4 linked regions of the Saccharomyces cerevisiae S288C genome follow. The protein of the gene in region 4 binds, or shares a complex with, the protein of the main gene of each other region. Each region holds a gene or a part of one and is shown on either strand. Other genes may lie near its edges. The genes, in order: SEM1, RPN8, RPN6 and RPN7. A codon is read from its position in the direction of its gene.

Evidence for each region.
Region 1: the proteins of RPN7 (region 4) and SEM1 are in contact, whole or in part, in a cryo-EM structure (PDB 5MPE), measured with the Saccharomyces cerevisiae proteins. Residues at the interface, in NP_015433.1 of Saccharomyces cerevisiae: Phe305 (codon at 1,466), Leu308 (codon at 1,457), Leu309 (codon at 1,454), Tyr312 (codon at 1,445), Asp327 (codon at 1,400), Val330 (codon at 1,391), Arg331 (codon at 1,388), Arg334 (codon at 1,379), Lys351 (codon at 1,328), Ser355 (codon at 1,316), Gly358 (codon at 1,307), Val359 (codon at 1,304), Ser360 (codon at 1,301), Phe363 (codon at 1,292), Asn366 (codon at 1,283), Asp367 (codon at 1,280), Lys370 (codon at 1,271); in NP_010651.3 of Saccharomyces cerevisiae: Asp65 (codon at 1,264), Glu68 (codon at 1,255), Val69 (codon at 1,252), Asp70 (codon at 1,249), Asp71 (codon at 1,246), Asp72 (codon at 1,243), Phe73 (codon at 1,240), Asn75 (codon at 1,234), Glu76 (codon at 1,231), Lys78 (codon at 1,225), Ala79 (codon at 1,222), Leu81 (codon at 1,216), Asp82 (codon at 1,213), Arg86 (codon at 1,201).
Region 2: the proteins of RPN7 (region 4) and RPN8 are in contact, whole or in part, in a cryo-EM structure (PDB 3J47), measured with the Saccharomyces cerevisiae proteins. Residues at the interface, in NP_015433.1 of Saccharomyces cerevisiae: Tyr400 (codon at 1,181), Leu403 (codon at 1,172), Leu410 (codon at 1,151), Leu414 (codon at 1,139), Tyr417 (codon at 1,130), Gly418 (codon at 1,127), Val421 (codon at 1,118); in NP_014904.3 of Saccharomyces cerevisiae: Met274 (codon at 2,119), Ile278 (codon at 2,107), Ile285 (codon at 2,086), Phe288 (codon at 2,077), Asp289 (codon at 2,074), Ile292 (codon at 2,065), Ile296 (codon at 2,053).
Region 3: the proteins of RPN7 (region 4) and RPN6 are in contact, whole or in part, in a cryo-EM structure (PDB 5MPC), measured with the Saccharomyces cerevisiae proteins. Residues at the interface, in NP_015433.1 of Saccharomyces cerevisiae: Arg263 (codon at 1,592), Pro274 (codon at 1,559), Leu277 (codon at 1,550), Ser278 (codon at 1,547), Leu279 (codon at 1,544), Ile280 (codon at 1,541), Tyr297 (codon at 1,490), Ser299 (codon at 1,484), Gln340 (codon at 1,361), Glu343 (codon at 1,352), Ser344 (codon at 1,349), Tyr345 (codon at 1,346), Lys346 (codon at 1,343), Thr347 (codon at 1,340), Leu348 (codon at 1,337), Ser349 (codon at 1,334), Ser352 (codon at 1,325), Asp394 (codon at 1,199), Asn395 (codon at 1,196), Lys396 (codon at 1,193), Gln399 (codon at 1,184), Tyr400 (codon at 1,181), Leu402 (codon at 1,175), Leu403 (codon at 1,172), Gln406 (codon at 1,163), Gly407 (codon at 1,160), Gly409 (codon at 1,154), Leu410 (codon at 1,151), Lys413 (codon at 1,142), Leu414 (codon at 1,139); in NP_010186.1 of Saccharomyces cerevisiae: Lys152 (codon at 1,352), Leu188 (codon at 1,244), Arg189 (codon at 1,241), Asn190 (codon at 1,238), Ala192 (codon at 1,232), Glu374 (codon at 686), Ser378 (codon at 674), Gln379 (codon at 671), Ile381 (codon at 665), Leu382 (codon at 662), Asp383 (codon at 659), Lys384 (codon at 656), Gly388 (codon at 644), Val389 (codon at 641), Leu390 (codon at 638), Asp391 (codon at 635), Gln392 (codon at 632), Gly393 (codon at 629), Pro403 (codon at 599), Asn404 (codon at 596), Gln405 (codon at 593), Asp406 (codon at 590), Tyr409 (codon at 581), Asp410 (codon at 578), Ala412 (codon at 572), Leu413 (codon at 569), Val416 (codon at 560), Gly417 (codon at 557), Leu419 (codon at 551), Asn420 (codon at 548).

The regions. Positions count from the first base shown.
Region 1 is NC_001136.10:1,199,793-1,203,583, reverse strand, and holds SEM1 (proteasome regulatory particle lid subunit SEM1), read right to left. Parts: upstream 1,457-3,791; coding exon 1,187-1,456; downstream 1-1,186. Other genes in the region: CDC40 (Cdc40p), read left to right, coding at 1-741; ESC2 (Esc2p), read right to left, coding at 3,031-3,791. UniProt on the Saccharomyces cerevisiae protein: Versatile protein that might stabilize multiple protein complexes involved in diverse pathways. Subunit of the 26S proteasome which plays a role in ubiquitin-dependent proteolysis.
Region 2 is NC_001147.6:813,994-818,693, forward strand, and holds RPN8 (proteasome regulatory particle lid subunit RPN8), read right to left. Parts: upstream 2,939-4,700; coding exon 1,922-2,938; downstream 1-1,921. Other genes in the region: GCD1 (translation initiation factor eIF2B subunit gamma), read left to right, coding at 1-1,727; GTPase GPN2, read left to right, coding at 3,299-4,342. UniProt on the Saccharomyces cerevisiae protein: Acts as a regulatory subunit of the 26S proteasome which is involved in the ATP-dependent degradation of ubiquitinated proteins.
Region 3 is NC_001136.10:284,891-290,031, forward strand, and holds RPN6 (proteasome regulatory particle lid subunit RPN6), read right to left. Parts: upstream 1,806-5,141; coding exon 501-1,805; downstream 1-500. Other genes in the region: U4/U6-U5 snRNP complex subunit SNU23, read right to left, coding at 1-275; dolichyl-phosphate-mannose-protein mannosyltransferase PMT1, read left to right, coding at 2,169-4,622; putative dolichyl-phosphate-mannose-protein mannosyltransferase PMT5, read left to right, coding at 5,019-5,141. UniProt on the Saccharomyces cerevisiae protein: Component of the lid subcomplex of the 26S proteasome, a multiprotein complex involved in the ATP-dependent degradation of ubiquitinated proteins. In the complex, RPN6 is required for proteasome assembly.
Region 4 is NC_001148.4:739,864-744,831, reverse strand, and holds RPN7 (proteasome regulatory particle lid subunit RPN7), read right to left. Parts: upstream 2,379-4,968; coding exon 1,089-2,378; downstream 1-1,088. Other genes in the region: GLD1 (Gld1p), read right to left, coding at 1-143; cleavage polyadenylation factor RNA-binding subunit YTH1, read left to right, coding at 2,768-3,394; putative protein kinase ISR1, read right to left, coding at 3,440-4,771. UniProt on the Saccharomyces cerevisiae protein: Component of the 19S cap proteasome complex which acts as a regulatory subunit of the 26S proteasome, involved in the ATP-dependent degradation of ubiquitinated proteins.

The sequences.
Region 1 (3,791 bases), on a different chromosome or scaffold from region 4:
AAAGCATTACGATTCACCGAAGACTGTCAATCTTTTTTGAGCTCTTCCTTTGATAGAAGCGTTAAAATTTGGGATACTGAAACTGGTAAAGTGAAAACCAGGTTGCACCTTAATTCAACGCCTGCAGATGTTGAATCTCGGCCCACTAACCCACATGAGTTCATTGTAGGTTTATCGAATTCGAAAATATTACATTATGATGATCGTGTTTCAGAAAATCAAGGTCTTGTGCAGACATATGATCATCACCTAAGTAGCATTCTGGCTCTCAAGTATTTTCCCGATGGTTCGAAGTTTATTTCTTCTTCAGAGGATAAGACGGTAAGAATTTGGGAAAATCAGATCAATGTACCAATAAAACAAATAAGTGACACGGCTCAACATTCTATGCCATTTTTAAATGTACATCCGTCTCAGAACTATTTCTGTGCACAAAGCATGGATAATAGAATATATTCTTTCAGTTTGAAACCCAAATATAAGAGGCATCCAAAAAAGATATTTAAAGGGCATTCATCTGCTGGTTATGGGATAAGCTTGGCTTTTTCTGGTGATGGTCGTTACATATGTTCAGGCGATTCAAAAAGCAGACTATTTACTTGGGATTGGAATACGTCGCGCTTATTAAATAACATCAAGATTCCAGGCAACAAGCCTATAACTCAAGTGGACTGGCATCCTCAAGAAACAAGTAAAGTCATTTGCAGCGGAGCGGCAGGTAAGATATATGTATGTGACTAGCTATTCACTCGGAATGTTACTTGAAACAAATTAAATGGTTACATGGATGTGATTTGTTACTTAATTGTTATTACGGATGATATTATTATGATAGTAAAAATGACAATAATAAAGAAACGATTGGGGTTACCTGAAATTGCAAGTACTAGTTCGAGGACACATTTGCATCATATGGTAGAAAGAGCGGATCTTAATATAGTTAATTTTTTAAACTGAGACTGCATTTAAAGAAATGAGAAATCTCAGCTGAGTTATTTAATACTTTGCGTGCATCATTATTATACTACAAGGCCATATAATCGACTACCGCATAGCCTTTCGTATCTCTTTTTATTATTTATTTTATCATCTAAGCAAAATATACTAGTATGACAACAATGTACTAAAGTAACATTAGACGTATAATTTCCTTTTGCGTTATTTAGAAATAATGTTATGTAGCCCCTCACTGATTTTCCCGTTTGTATCTATCCAATTCGGCCTTCAATTCATTGGTGAAATCGTCGTCAACTTCAACATCATCCCAGTTTTCTTCCCATATGTTTGTTTGCGTTACAGCATTGCTTTTTATTGTTTCACCATTGGCCCATGTGTCAATGGGGAAATCTTCAAATTCATCGTCTTCCTCTAGAGACTTCTTATTTATTTCCTCATTTTTTTTTTTTGTTAAATCTATTTTACTTTGGGCTTGTGCAGCAGCAACGTCCGTACTCATATTTTTGCGTATTTGTACTATTATTCGACTTTTATTGCCACTCTATTCACTTTATGCATAGGTAGGTTTCCATTAGGACTTTAAAAGGTAACGCCCACCACGTTCGCCACCCATAGCACTAGTTTCGTAAATAATGATAATATAATGGATCCGACAGAACTAAGAAGCTTTCAGCCCTTCAAAATCCCTACTAGTAGGTTACAAAGACATGAGGAAATGTTGATATAATTTTTATTGTTTTCTTTAGAAGGTTAGTTTTAAACACAAACCCGAAAAAAAATTTATAACATTTTGAATGTGTTATTAGCCCTGTAGGGGGCTCGAACCCCTAACCTTATGATTAAGAGTCATACGCGCTACCGATTGCGCCAACAAGGCTATTTATTTGTGACCTTTTAAAGGTTAAAAAGGGATAATACATATAATTTCTCAATATCAAGATGCATCATCATGTATTAAACTGAGAAATAAGTGAATTCTATGAATATTGAGATAGGGTTGGGATTGCATTGTTGGAAAACAATATTTGGTTATCAATTCTTGCTTTTCAACTTCTACTAAAAATGGTAACTGCTTGTCAATCTTTATGTCAACTTCTTAGGTTGTATATGATAGTTTACTAATAATATGAACGTTAGTCGGGTATATGATGGTTGATTCTTATTCCAACAATATCAAACACATCAGTAATTTTCAATCACTTTAAAATATATTGATATAAACCTTTTTTCCATATAAATGTATTCACATTTTTTGCATCCATGATCACTGTTGGTAAAGTACGCCCTATTTATAGAAATACGTAAATAAGGAGCAATCGATAAAGCATGTAGACCAATATAGTGTTGAGATATTTGTCGGATCCCATCTTGGTGTAAGTAATAGTACTATGTGTAACAATAGTGGGTGAAAGCCATTCTTGATGGTTTAGAGTTCAAAAAAGAAAATCAACAATTCTGCACAGTACCATATTTATTATTTTTCTTCGTTTTCACCTAATCACTCATTGATGCAGTTACACTACCAATTCTTGCCCTTCAAATCACCTTAAAGGATGATGGCTTGAATTTTATTTTCTGCTGATCTCGTAATTTATACAACCTTTTAGCGTTGATATCATAATATTATGATGAAACGAATTATTTTAATTGACTGCTGTAGCAACAATAGAGAAGTAGTTTACCTCTTGTTCCAAGAAAACTATAGCCGAGGAAATATCAAATTGTTTTGATAGTTGTTCTACGTTAGATGTACTATTCAAACCTAGCACGAAAAAGCTGAAGAGATTTTTGTATTCATTAGGCGATCAAATTTTTATAGAAAAGCGTTAACATGTTGAGTTAGAGATGGAAAAATTCCTTTATAATATTTCACGGAAGGTAGAAGAGGGTCAGCACCTACTTTTTGAACAGAGAATTACCCGAGTATGATTTAAACACAAAAGGTCTTATTCAATTATATTCAGAAAATATTTTACAAGTACCGCAAGCACCACCAACACACCCGCCGCCCATAGTAAATAATAATTGTGGCACGTAAAGAGCCGGAGTTCGGCCTTTTTTAGCAAATTGCGCTCAATCAATAATGACATCAACCATGTCTTCATCTTCCATATCCTGATCGGCTATACACTCATTCATGTCCAATTCATCATGATCAAAAAGTAATTTAACCCTCGTCTTTTGTGGTAACTGTTTCTGGATTCTGTAATATTCGGCAATTTTAGAAAATGGTGTTGAACGCCTAACATGGACATAGATTTTTTTGTTATCTTGACCCATGAGAGCGATTCTCATAACTTCTTCCATGCTACTACTATTTCCTGACAAAGAGCCACCCTCTTGCAGAAGTTTTGTATTCATAACTGTATCATTTTCTTTTATTTCTTGTGTTTCTTCTACGTTTTTTAATTCGGATTCAAACTCGCGATATTCGGACTCTTCTTGTTCATTTCTCTTTTTCTCTAACTTCCTTTCCATCTCCTGACGTTCTTTTATGAGTAAAGCAGCTTCTTCTTCCTTTAACTTTGATTCCAGTGTCGCTTCAAAGTTCTTTTCGTATTCTTTGGATACGATAGTAACATCGATATCAGAGACTTCATTTTCAAAATCCTGTGGGATATGTAGCGAATTACAAGTCATAAAAGTGAGTAATTTTGCATTGTTCCAATAAAGAGTAACATTCTCTACCTTGTATATATCTTTCATTACCTTCGGAATTTTATAGGACTTCATCAATCCGTCCAAAGCAGCAGGAAGTATTTTTGAAAATTCGTATTTTCCGAGGACCTTCACTTGGACCGCTTTATTTATAGTTCCTTCTAGCTTAGAGAGAA
Region 2 (4,700 bases), on a different chromosome or scaffold from region 4:
AGGCTTTTGTCTTTTGCGGTAAAGGTTCCAATTTGGCTCCCTTCACCCAGCCAGATTTTCCATTCCAAACGCAGAACAAAGACAGTACAGCTGCCACGAGCGGTGACAAACTTAATGAGTTGGTCAATAGCGCCCTCGATTCAACTGTCATAAATGAGTTCATGCAACATTCAACGCGCTTGCCCAAGGCTCTTTTGCCCATCGGTAATAGACCTATGATTGAATACGTCTTGGATTGGTGTGATCAGGCAGATTTCAAAGAAATCAGTGTGGTCGCACCCGTTGACGAAATCGAATTAATTGAAAGTGGACTGACTTCGTTTTTGTCCCTAAGAAAGCAACAATTTGAACTAATATACAAGGCTTTGTCAAATTCCAACCACAGTCATCACTTGCAAGATCCTAAGAAAATTAATTTCATCCCTTCGAAGGCAAATTCTACAGGTGAGTCCTTGCAAAAAGAGCTTTTGCCTAGAATCAATGGCGATTTTGTAATCTTGCCCTGTGATTTTGTCACAGATATACCTCCACAAGTCTTGGTCGATCAATTTAGGAATAGGGATGATAATAACCTAGCAATGACTATCTACTATAAGAACTCTTTAGATAGTAGTATCGATAAAAAGCAACAGCAAAAGCAAAAACAACAGCAATTTTTCACTGTTTATTCAGAAAACGAAGACTCAGAGAGGCAGCCAATACTTTTGGACGTTTATTCTCAAAGGGACGTCACAAAGACAAAATATCTACAGATCAGATCTCATTTATTATGGAACTATCCAAATTTAACAGTATCCACTAAGTTACTGAACTCATTCATCTACTTTTGTTCCTTTGAACTTTGCCAGTTGTTAAAATTAGGACCTCAATCAATGTCAAGACAAGCTTCATTCAAAGATCCATTTACTGGAAACCAACAACAGCAAAACCCTCCTACTACTGATGATGATGAAGATCGCAATCATGATGATGACGATGATTACAAACCTTCGGCTACATCTATCCAGCCTACCTACTTCAAAAAAAAGAATGATCTCATCTTGGACCCAATAAACTGTAATAAATCATTGAGTAAGGTTTTTAGAGATTTATCTCGTCGTTCGTGGCAACATTCGAAACCGAGGGAACCAATAGGTATTTTTATTTTACCAAACGAAACCTTGTTCATCAGAGCCAATAACTTGAATGCTTACATGGACGCTAATAGATTTGTACTAAAGATAAAATCACAAACGATGTTCACGAAAAATATACAGATTCAATCTGCCGCTATCGGTGCTGATGCCATAGTAGATCCCAAATGCCAAATCTCTGCTCATAGTAATGTCAAGATGTCTGTTCTCGGTACTCAGGCCAATATTGGTTCCAGATGTCGTGTTGCAGGGTCTCTCTTATTTCCTGGAGTCCATCTTGGTGACGAAGTAATCCTGGAAAATTGTATTATTGGACCTATGGCAAAAATCGGTTCAAAGTGTAAACTCAGCAATTGTTATATCGAAGGCCATTATGTTGTGGAGCCTAAAAATAACTTTAAAGGTGAAACACTGGCCAACGTTTATTTGGATGAAGATGAGGAGGACGAGTTAATATATGATGATAGTGTTATTGCTGGAGAAAGTGAAATCGCCGAAGAAACTGACAGTGATGATAGAAGCGATGAAGATTCTGATGATAGTGAATATACCGACGAGTACGAGTACGAAGATGACGGATTATTTGAGCGTTAATATAAACTTATGTATATTCCTTCAGTCTCTTTAATAGAGACCAAGTAAGTAAGTGGACGAGAATAGAGGCGATATTATGCATTTATATTTGAAATTCAACAGAACATAATTATGCTTAAGCAAATTAACATGTTGTATTAATACATAGCGTTTTACACATCTATTTCATATATTATGTTATGTTAATTTTTGAATTAATTTTTCTTGTTCTTTCGTTGGATCAATGGCGCAGTTGCTTCTTTGTCACCACTCTCACTCTCACTGTCATCAGAGACTTTTGATTGTTTGTCCTTTACTCTTTGTTCTTGAATTTTTTTATTTTGAATTTTGTTTTCAATCAAATCATCAAACGCGATAATTGACCTAACCAAATTGCTTATATATATAACCATTAATTCATCATTAGTTTTCACAGTTAAAGCCTTTTGTAAGTTATTTGAAATATTAATTCTGTCATGATTCTCCACATCTATTTCGTCATCATCAGGTGTTCCCAGATTTGGTAAAAGGTTGAAAACATCTTGTAGCTTGCCCAATATAGTGTGGTTTATCGGTAATTCCTTATTAATGACTTTGTCTAAGTACTCGACAACGTCTTTTAGTTTGCTTTGTAATCCTTTCAAAGATTTTAATTGGTTGGTCAACCGGATAGATAAGCCACCTGCTGCTTGATCACGTACGTCTCTCAATAAGTGTTCTACACCAATTTCTTCAGCTTCTTCGGCCTCAATAGTACAAGGCAAATGAAGAAACGTCTTTTCTGTAGACGTACCATCATCCTTAACTTGCTCAATCGCGACATATGCATCTGTTGGTAAACCAACACCTTGTTGTTTGACATCAACAATTAATAATAGCGGATTATTCTGAGTATATTTTTTAAACAGCTCATTAATCTTGAGGTCAGAAGCCCTTAATTTAGGACCACTATGATACCATCCAATGAGTTTTTCCTTGGCATTAATCTTTTTACACATTTCATTCATGTTTTCAATATAATTATGGTCTAAAAACCACACGTCAGAGTTTTTCTCATCTTCTTCAAACGGTAAGGCAAAGGAATTAGTGACTCTGATAGTGGAACTGTTAGCATCACCTAAGATGACACCAACGCATCTTTTGTTTTCTTTTGTCTGCGTACGCTCATAATGATCCAAAGCAGATAGCAAAACTAGTGGTGCAATGGTAACTTTCTCGTGTTGTAGAGACATTGTAATTTGATTTTCCTTTCTTTCTTTCTTTTTTTAAATTCGAAAAATGCCCTCAATCAGTAGCAGTTGTACAGAAAGCCAACGTTACACTATAGATTGCTTAGCTGTTGGCTTCACAATTATTTCATTGTAGATTCTACGTTACGTGCAACTTGAGTAACGATTTGCCACTGAGGTATCCCCGAACTTTAGTAAAATCAAATTTCGTAATAAGTGATTAGGAATATTGCTACTTAAAGTAAGTGATGCTCATTGAAAGATTGCATTGTGAGTCTTCACTACTTACCGTAATAGAATGGTTTGTTTTCATTTGATTGTTGTTGTGTCAATAGTTTTGATTTTCTACTAGAGAGTACAATAATGCCCTTCGCTCAGATTGTTATTGGTCCACCAGGTTCAGGGAAGTCAACCTATTGCAACGGCTGCTCACAGTTCTTCAATGCCATCGGAAGACATTCCCAGGTAGTGAATATGGATCCTGCTAATGATGCCTTACCTTACCCATGCGCTGTGGATATTCGTGATTTTATAACATTAGAGGAGATCATGCAAGAGCAACAGTTAGGCCCTAATGGAGGTTTGATGTATGCTGTTGAATCATTGGATAATTCTATTGATTTGTTCATTTTACAGATCAAGTCACTTGTAGAAGAAGAAAAAGCATATCTTGTATTCGACTGTCCGGGCCAAGTGGAGCTATTTACTCATCACTCATCTTTGTTCAACATCTTTAAAAAAATGGAAAAGGAATTGGACATTAGGTTTTGTGTTGTAAATTTGATTGACTGTTTTTACATGACATCCCCTTCACAATATATCTCGATTTTGTTACTTGCATTGAGGTCTATGTTAATGATGGATCTCCCTCACATCAACGTTTTTTCTAAAATAGATATGCTGAAATCATACGGAGAATTACCCTTTAGATTAGACTATTATACAGAGGTCCAGGATCTGGATTATTTGGAGCCATATATTGAAAAGGAAGGCTCTAGTGTACTGGGAAAGAAATATAGCAAGTTAACTGAAACAATCAAAGAGCTAGTCTCAGATTTCAACTTAGTATCATTTGAGGTTTTGTCCGTGGATGACAAAGAAAGTATGATAAATCTTCAAGGTGTTATAGATAAAGCAAATGGCTACATATTCGGCGCATCCGAAGTTGGTGGTGATACCGTGTGGGCTGAGGCTTCGCGAGAAGGTGCATTAATAGCGAATTACGACATTCAAGACAGGTGGATAGACAATAAAGAGAAGTATGATAAAGAAGAAGAAGAAAAACGTACGGCGTTGTTAAAAGAACAAGAATTGCAAAATAAAGCTGTTGATGTGAATGAAGAAGATGAGTGGGAAAATGCGCTGAAGGAGTGGGAAGAGAAACAAGGAATGGATTTTGTTAGGTAGCGTGTTCAGGTATCTTTTTCTCGTTCAGCCGTGGAACTTAATTCAAAATTGAAAATTGTATACAGAGTATATATGCATATAATTGAAAGCAGCTTACTACGAAATGTTCTTGAATTGCTGGCCGAGTTGCAAATCAGCTGCAAAGGACAGAACCCTATGTCTGAACATGATTGCTTTCGTACCCTGAAAGCCAGCGCTACTAATTAACCAGGTTGACCAGCCTTCACTCATTCGCGGCGACAGCAAAAGCGGAAGAAGAAAAAAATAACCAGCAAACTGTCAATGGGTTTCTAGGAGGAAAAAGAACAAGTTAAAAATGATTAGCACCAACAACGTTGCCTATATCTGTCATTGGGCA
Region 3 (5,141 bases), on a different chromosome or scaffold from region 4:
GTGTCTTTGAAGGTTAGGTTACAAATATCGCAGTAAAATCCGAACTTCTTTCCCCTCTTGAAAGACGATAAGCTCTCTGTATTTGCTGTTAGTTTCCTTTTATTTAGGTCTTTTAGCGAGCCCTTGATTAAATGATCGTAATTTGTATATTTGGATTTTAAAGCTTGTAATTCAATCGGTGTTAGCGTAGCCTTTAAGGATCGATCGTCATAGCCGCTTCTAGCCTGCTCAGCATACTCCTCTCTATCCCAAGTTCTTCTGCCAAAATTCGACATTAGCTTTCTCGAATTTTTGTCAGCTAAGGCTTGTAGGAACTTCTGGTTTTGATGAACTTTCGCATCAACTGTTTTCTATTTAGCGGCGCATTCGATTAAACTTCTTCCTTTCTTAGGAGAAAAAAAAGAAAAATCATACTTATGTATTTTCTGCATTTTATAAGTTTATTTAGGAATTCTTACTCTGGTACTTGTGAGTATACATACATATATATACATGTAAACCTAATACAAGACACTTGCCTTTTCAAATAGTTGATCGACGACTTTATTTAGTTGCCCGACTAATTCCAATGCAGAGTCGTACGTGGCATCCTGATTCGGAGTTTCGTAAACGTAAAGCCAACCATTACCTTGATCCAGAACACCGTAGAATATCTTATCTAGTATCATTTGGGAGAGCTTTCCTTCAACTTGTTGAGTATCCAGACCGATTATTTTGGAAATGTGGGATATTTCCACACATTCAAATGGCTCAATAATCTTACACAAATTGGACTCTAATAACGTGTCGTATAATGCATTGAAATGGGATCTTGTTAGTTCATCGCCCATTAGTTCCTTCTCGTATTGCTTTAGCGCCGTGTTGAAGTCTAAAAGCGATCTGTTGTTATAAGCCTCAGCGACAGCTTTCATGGCATCAATGCCTCGGGACTGGTACGTTTCCTTTGTGTATTTTGCGTTTAGGATGTTTTTTACGTCATCAATAAGGTTCAGCATGATCTTAGACAATAGCATGTATTTCAACACTTGACATGCCTTTTCGTAGGAATTATGCGTAGTCAAATTGTGGTAGCTTTCAAAACTTTCGAAGAAATACGAAAATGCAGTTTTGTAGTCTTTATCTTCACAGTGCAGGATACCACTCATCAAGTCCAGCTCCGCAACTGTTTGTGTAGGACAGTATATGGAGTTAGCGGCCGTCCTTGCTGCAGTCAACGAGGCCTTGGACTTGGCTAGATTCCTCAGTTTATGGTAAACTTTACTTTCCAATAGATGTACATCAACCAAAGAGGGCTTGTCGTCCAGCTTTTTGAACTCCCTCAAAAGATCGTTAATCAATGCTAATGAGTCCTTGTACTGTTTCTTTTGATAATGTAAGGTGGCCAATTTGATCGAGAGTGAATGCTTCAAAAACACCCTTTTTTCTCTCTTGGCAAATTCGATGCTTTTCTCGCACACAAAGATCTGATCGTCCAAGGAGTCCGGCACTTGCTCGAATTTTTCAATCAACGTTTTCAATACCTTTACCGTTTTGGATTTGGCAAATTGCATCATATACTCCGTAGAATGAGGAATAAACTCGCGCAATTTGTCCTTTGCACCCATAGTCACGTATAACTGTCCTAATTCCAATATGCTTGTCTCCTGTTCATTTCTACGCTTGTCATCCACACTGGCACCGGCAGCGGCGCTGCTCTGTGAGCTGTCTTTATCCAGCAGGCTCAAATAGACTTGTTCTGCCTCATTATACTGTTTTTCATTAACCAGTCTCCTGGCCTCTTCTAATTTCGAACCTGGCAGAGACATGAAGTTCCTCGTTTATAGATTAATCACCAATTGTCCTCTTTCAGCGCTTCTGTTAGTTGGCCTTATTTAACGGATCTTTGCTTCAATTACGCTTTCTACCAACATTTGCCACCCTTGGAACCAGAAGAGAATATACATCATTCGGGGTTGCCCTGCCCATTTATATCGTATATTGTGATGATATACCTTTTTTTTTTTTTTCGCTGCGTTTTTTTTCTCGACACGTGTCGAAGAAGAGTTTGGCGTTTCTAAGCAGATCTTGATTATTTTCGAGCAGCAAAACAAGACAAACAGGTGCATTGTTAAAGCGAGGTAGTATCAGAAGAGCCTATCAAGAAACAGCTAACAGCTACAAGCACGGTCATGTCGGAAGAGAAAACGTACAAACGTGTAGAGCAGGATGATCCCGTGCCCGAACTGGATATCAAGCAGGGCCCCGTAAGACCCTTTATTGTTACCGATCCGAGTGCCGAATTGGCCTCGTTACGAACCATGGTCACTCTTAAAGAGAAGCTGTTAGTGGCCTGTCTTGCTGTCTTTACAGCGGTCATTAGATTGCATGGCTTGGCATGGCCTGACAGCGTGGTGTTTGATGAAGTACATTTCGGTGGGTTTGCCTCGCAATACATTAGGGGGACTTACTTCATGGATGTGCATCCTCCTCTTGCAAAGATGTTGTATGCTGGTGTGGCATCGCTTGGTGGGTTCCAGGGTGATTTTGACTTCGAAAATATTGGTGACAGCTTTCCATCTACGACGCCATACGTGTTGATGAGATTTTTCTCTGCTTCTTTGGGGGCTCTTACTGTTATTTTGATGTACATGACTTTACGTTATTCTGGTGTTCGTATGTGGGTTGCTTTGATGAGCGCTATCTGCTTTGCCGTTGAAAACTCGTACGTCACTATTTCTCGTTACATTCTGTTGGACGCCCCATTGATGTTTTTCATTGCAGCTGCAGTCTACTCTTTCAAGAAATACGAAATGTACCCTGCCAACTCGCTCAATGCTTACAAGTCCTTGCTTGCTACTGGTATTGCTCTTGGTATGGCATCTTCATCCAAATGGGTTGGTCTTTTCACGGTTACATGGGTGGGTCTTTTATGTATCTGGAGACTATGGTTCATGATTGGGGATTTGACTAAGTCTTCCAAGTCCATCTTCAAAGTAGCATTTGCCAAATTGGCCTTCTTGTTGGGTGTGCCTTTTGCCCTTTATCTGGTCTTCTTTTATATCCACTTCCAATCATTAACTTTGGACGGGGATGGCGCAAGCTTCTTTTCGCCTGAATTTAGATCTACACTAAAGAACAATAAGATCCCCCAAAATGTCGTTGCTGATGTCGGCATTGGCTCCATTATCAGCTTGCGTCATCTCTCTACCATGGGCGGTTATTTGCATTCTCATTCACACAATTATCCAGCTGGTTCGGAACAACAACAAAGCACTTTATATCCTCACATGGATGCCAATAACGATTGGTTGTTGGAACTTTACAACGCACCCGGCGAATCTTTAACAACATTCCAAAACCTAACCGATGGTACCAAGGTCAGACTATTCCACACTGTTACAAGATGTAGATTACACTCTCATGACCATAAGCCACCCGTTTCAGAAAGCAGCGACTGGCAGAAGGAGGTTTCTTGTTATGGTTACAGCGGATTCGACGGTGATGCTAATGATGACTGGGTTGTTGAGATTGATAAAAAGAATTCTGCTCCTGGAGTTGCCCAAGAACGGGTCATAGCTTTGGACACAAAGTTTAGATTGAGACATGCTATGACAGGCTGTTATTTGTTTTCCCACGAAGTCAAGTTGCCAGCTTGGGGGTTCGAACAACAAGAAGTTACCTGTGCCTCCTCCGGTAGACATGATTTAACATTGTGGTACGTTGAGAACAACAGTAACCCATTGTTACCAGAAGATACCAAGCGTATTTCCTATAAACCTGCAAGCTTCATTTCTAAATTTATTGAATCCCATAAAAAGATGTGGCATATCAATAAAAATTTGGTCGAACCTCATGTTTATGAATCACAACCAACTTCATGGCCATTCTTGCTACGTGGTATAAGTTACTGGGGTGAAAATAACAGAAACGTCTATCTATTAGGTAATGCGATCGTATGGTGGGCTGTCACCGCTTTCATCGGTATTTTCGGATTGATTGTTATCACTGAGCTGTTCTCGTGGCAGTTAGGTAAACCAATTTTGAAGGACTCCAAGGTTGTTAACTTCCACGTTCAGGTTATTCACTACTTATTGGGTTTTGCCGTCCATTATGCTCCATCTTTCTTAATGCAACGTCAAATGTTTTTGCATCACTACTTACCTGCTTATTATTTCGGTATTCTTGCCCTTGGCCACGCCTTGGACATAATAGTTTCTTATGTTTTCCGCAGCAAGAGACAAATGGGCTACGCGGTAGTGATCACTTTCCTTGCTGCTTCTGTGTATTTCTTCAAGAGCTTCAGTCCAATTATTTACGGTACACCATGGACTCAAGAATTGTGTCAAAAATCGCAGTGGTTGTCTGGTTGGGACTACAATTGTAACACATACTTTTCTTCATTAGAAGAGTACAAAAACCAAACCTTGACTAAACGTGAATCTCAACCTGCCGCCACTAGTACAGTTGAAGAAATCACTATAGAAGGGGACGGTCCGTCGTATGAAGATCTCATGAACGAGGATGGCAAGAAAATCTTTAAAGACACAGAAGGTAATGAACTAGATCCAGAAGTTGTCAAAAAAATGTTGGAAGAGGAGGGAGCTAACATTTTAAAAGTAGAAAAAAGGGCTGTTTTGGAATAAATTTCCCAGTACTCTCCACATTTTTATGTAAAGTCTTCTATAAGCTCTCGAGCGTATAATTAAAAACGAAAATAGACAAAAAAAACATCATGAATAAAAAAAATGTCTTGAAGCTGACTATATTGTCCATCTGCGTTTAGAGACACGTATTCTATTTCGCTCAAATAAGTATGATCTGCAAGTAGTTTCAGTGGTATTATCATTTCGCACCGTTTTTTTTCCAAGAACTCGTTTACGTGCCGCGAAAAGTCTATCGAATAGGCATTCGAGAACAATAGAAAAGGAACAGAAGCGTAGTACATATTATGCATAGACCCGTTTCTTTTCTTCTTTTTCGAAAATATTCTTATTGATTTAACAATTAAGCAGGTGTGTAAGATCATAACTGCTTTAAAGATGAATAAAGAGCATTTGCTGAAGGTGGATCCCATCCCCGATGTGACTATTAAACGCGGCCCTTTGAGGTCTTTTCTCATAACAAAACCCTGTGATAATTTGAGTTCATTACGAACAGTTACT
Region 4 (4,968 bases):
ATATATTCCAATGATATTAAAACATACCCGAGAAAGCTCAAATTATTCACCAAATTTCTTTGGAAGTTTCTTTTTCGTAGTTCGTATACTCGTTTGTTTCCTATACTTAAATTTCCTTCAGCAGTACTTTCAAAATTATCCATTATTATATTGGCCTTATTGAAAACATAGATTAGTTTGCTTTTGGCCTGCTAATGGATGACAAATAGCGTGCTTAGTATTTTTAGGCTTCCGCAGTTTAGCTTTATTTGATGATACGTCAAGAGTGCGGGATAATGTAGGTTCAAAAGGATCAAATTGTGTTTCGTTATATATGATTTCCTTGCAATAACTATAGAGAAGGAGAACAATATAACCTTGTGCATGAAAGCATCATAGTCTTAAAGAAAAAATTTAAACTAAAATGCAGAATCAATTCTCATGGATTTTTTATATAAAAAGAAGCTAAATAAGTGTTAACTTTAGGGAAAAAATTTTGCCACCTGTCAGAATTGAACTAACGACCTTTGCATTACAAGTGCAACGCTCTACCACTAAGCTAAGGAGGCTTTTACACTGTAGGGTATCCTCCAAGAAGGGACAAAGTGTCTGCATGGAAATTTGCAGCCGACTTCTCTTAATGTCTGTAACACTTAAACTATCATGGAGTGATTTCATTTCAACGATATCCCTAAAAGCGAACCAGAAGTGTTTTAGTTGAATCGTTTATTGGCTAGAACACTCGAATACAACGTATTAAACAAATGAAGAAACAATGACCGTATCATGAATTTCCTTTTATGGGGATTCCTTTTTCTGGTTATACTACTTTTTAAGAATTGGCATTTTCAGCCTTAGATTCCTCACTTTCAAAAGAAGCATGGTCCTTTATGAGACATTGCAATTATGTAACTTTCCGAACTAAATACTGAAATTTTTAATGGAAGCTTGAAAACTATAGAAGCTCTCCGTTTTAAAGGAGAAAGAGGATGATTACAATCCTTTGACTTGAACCGATCCATATATCCTCTCACTACTATTTACTCAAGTCTCCAAACTATGTATACATGTTGATGTGATTATGTGCGTTGCTAAATAATGTAAATTCCTCAAACACGATCTGACCCTGTCAATCTCACTGCTGCACCGTATTTTTGTAATTTTGTTAGCAAACCGTCACCTTGCTTAACTAGCAGATGGTATTGAGCATTTTTGTTGTCTGGCCTGTTGGTCTCTACGATCCCATTAACTCTATCAATGACACAATTTAGTTGCTTATTTGGAATAAACTTACCCAGGTCGTTATCCAAGAACGCAACCGAAACACCAAATGCGCTTGCCATAGATTTCAGCGACAAAGTCTTATATGATTCCAACAATTGTGCGTAGACTTTTCTTCTCATTTCTCTAACAAAGAAATCTGCATGTCTATTCAAATATTTACATGGAATCAAAACATTTGCATATGTTTCCAAAAGATATGGAAAGTAACTGGCATAATCGGACGCGTAAAGGGAAATTGTTAACGACGAGATAGATTGTAGTGCGGCAGTTGTTGAGATTAAAGATAACAATTCAGGTGAATCGATGACTTTGGATTTTAGGTCTGTTCTTTCCAGAGTGAATAAACCTGTGACCGATGCATATGTGGCAATGCTTTCATAGGAAGTTAATTCAATAGAGGTGAAAGTTGCTAGAGAATCGACCAATAACTTTGCCGCTTCCTTAAAGTTTCTTACGGCCAAGCAGTGGATACCATAGTATGTTTTATATCTATTTCTTCTCTCCCAGTCACCACCTTTTTCAATCATAGAATTGACTGCTTCCAACTTCTCCTTAACATAAAGTTGGTCGTTATAAAAGAACCCCAGCCTTGCAATTGTTAGCATAACATCAATTTTGGCGCCTGTGGAAATAGCCTTCGATAATGATTTCCCTAGCGTCTTTTCAGCATTATCTTTGTCACCGATTTGTGCATAATATTCACCCAGATTAATCCAGGCTTGAGCTTGTTCTAGTTCACCTTCATCATCTTCTTCCAATTTTTGGATCTTTTCATTTAACTCTTTAATCTTACTTTCATTTTTTTTGCACAATTCATTGTATAGCTCCTGGTCAAATTTGATCCATTCGTTTAAAGAATCTGACTTTTCATCGTGTTCCAAGTCAGATTGGCCATTATTAACAAGGTATTCCTCGCAAAGATATTTATAATAAGGGGCCATTTCTTCCTCTTTAATTTTGGCTAAAACGAACTCTGCCGCTTCCTTACGCTGTTCAATACTAACCTTTGATTGTGTCAAAAGAAACGCCTTTTCAGATACCTCATAATTGGGCACCCTATTCACCGTTGGATCAACATATTCAACTTCTTGACTTTTCTCTTCCACGTCTACCATTTTGCCGTGTTTATCCAGAATTTTTGCGTGTATTAGTAACTATTGTAACAGTGGTAAAAAGCGCAGTTTACTACAACAATAGAGATTTGTGTAGTGTTAACAATTAGGTTTTTCAATGCTGCCTTGTGTATATTAATCCTCAATGGGTGGCAAACTTAACTTATTCGGAAACTTGATTGAGCATGCATTTACGCGCCGTCGGTTATGATATGGGGAAAACAAGTGTTATTACAATAGTCCACTATAACTTTTAATAATTATATAGAATGCACTGTACTTTGTTGTTCCAATCGCTTCAAAATATCACATTTCTGAATTATAAGCTAAAGATTTCTGCACTGTATCTTAAACAAGTATTCTAGGACGAATAAAATCAATAAGTTTATGTAATGAGCCTAATTCACCCCGATACAGCAAAATATCCTTTTAAATTTGAACCTTTCCTCAGGCAAGAGTATTCGTTTTCACTCGATCCTGACAGACCTATTTGTGAATTTTACAATTCTAGAGAAGGCCCTAAATCATGTCCGAGGGGACCGTTATGTCCAAAAAAGCATGTGTTACCAATATTTCAGAATAAAATTGTTTGTAGACATTGGCTTCGAGGGTTGTGCAAAAAGAATGACCAATGTGAATACTTACATGAATACAATCTTCGAAAAATGCCTGAATGTGTCTTCTTCAGCAAAAACGGGTACTGTACACAAAGTCCAGATTGTCAATATCTACACATAGATCCCGCTAGCAAGATACCAAAATGTGAAAATTACGAAATGGGATTCTGTCCTCTGGGGAGTTCTTGTCCTAGACGGCATATTAAGAAGGTTTTCTGTCAAAGATACATGACCGGATTTTGTCCTTTAGGGAAGGATGAATGTGATATGGAACATCCACAGTTCATAATCCCAGATGAAGGTAGTAAATTAAGAATTAAGAGAGACGATGAGATAAATACCAGGAAAATGGATGAAGAAAAGGAAAGGCGTTTAAACGCAATTATAAACGGTGAAGTTTGATCTATGCATGGCTGGGGGTTTTCGATTTCATAGACATGTATATTATCATATATAGTTACTATCGAGTATAGTTATGAGATTTTCTAGAGGAAGTCTATCAACCAGAATTCTGGACAATAATGCTAGTTCTGACTTCCAATCCTGGAATAAATCGTTTCTTAACATGTTTAGATTTATAGGATCTTTTTTCAAAAGAGCATTTATCAGCCATTGGGACTGCTGTATAGATGAACTGCCAATACCTGGAGAGGATCCATGCGACACTAACGCCTGAAGTTCGTTGTAAGGCTCATGCTGCGATATAAATGATAAAAGACAAAGCCCCACGGCATACAAATCCGATTCAAATGTAGGAACATGATCGGAGGAGCTATCAATTAGTTCTGGTGCACAGTATTCTACCGTGGTATTCAGATCTGTTGGTGTTTGATTAATGTGAAATGCCGACGTAAAGTCAGCAAGGTAGAAGTCAAAATCCTTACAATGGCCTCCATTAAGAACATGCATTTCTGTTATTAAAATATTTGCTGTTTTTATATCACCATGAATTATACCATTTGTTTTCAAAGATTTTAATGCGTCTATCATTTGCTTCATAAGTCTCCACCATATTTTTCTTTTTGTTATCAACGAAAGCTTATGTGACACTGCTGTATTGAAGTGATATAAACTCATTTCGCATTTCGGAAGAATAAGGCCAGGAACACATTCGTTGGACCTCAGTCTTCTAAAATGGGATTTAGTTATGTATGTCAACCCATAGAATGGAATAATATGACTTTCATTGGTTGAAGGACTCATGTACTGGAGATATGCTAGCGTCAAAGCTTCCTGTAAAATCACCTTGCTTTTATGCTGTGATTTGGCAAACTTTAAAACAACCCCTGAATCGTTGTTACATCTTGATGAAGCACTTGATGATATAGGGTACACATATGAATAACTTCCCTGTCCCACTAATTTGTTAGACGGAAGAGAATAACTTGGATTTGACAAAAAATCCATCTCTGGAGCAAGTAATATGCCCATCAAAAACTCATCCAGAAATTCTAGGGAAGAAACTGTATTAGAAAGACGGAACATTAAAGCCAAATTCTCCGGAGAGTAAAACCGGGGGGTAGTGAACAATACGTCTAAATCGTTCTTTAGGTGCGCCTCCGAGGTAGCAACGGGCGCCTTACTAGAATAATCTGTCTGGAATGCCTCACTGAATTTAGCTGTCGGCTCCTCTACAGGAGATACCAGATGTGAATATGCGAAGTTACTTTTATGTTTTTGCGGTTGGCGATAAGCAAAACCCTTACTATTGTTACTTATGGATGGAAAGGAACCATCAGAAACCCTGGTGACGGGTGACGTAGGAGGTGTACTGTTCATAGCGTGACGTTTGAGAACTAGTCTTTGAGATGTGTTTTAAGACGATTTTTGCTGTTGATGAGGTTAGATCCCCGTTATATAAAGGCAAGAATCTATTAGCAGCGCTTTTTGTTTATTCAATGCTAGTCAAAATAAACAATAAGATAGACCCATACATCACAATCTAGCTGGTTTGCGATCATGTTGATTGACACATT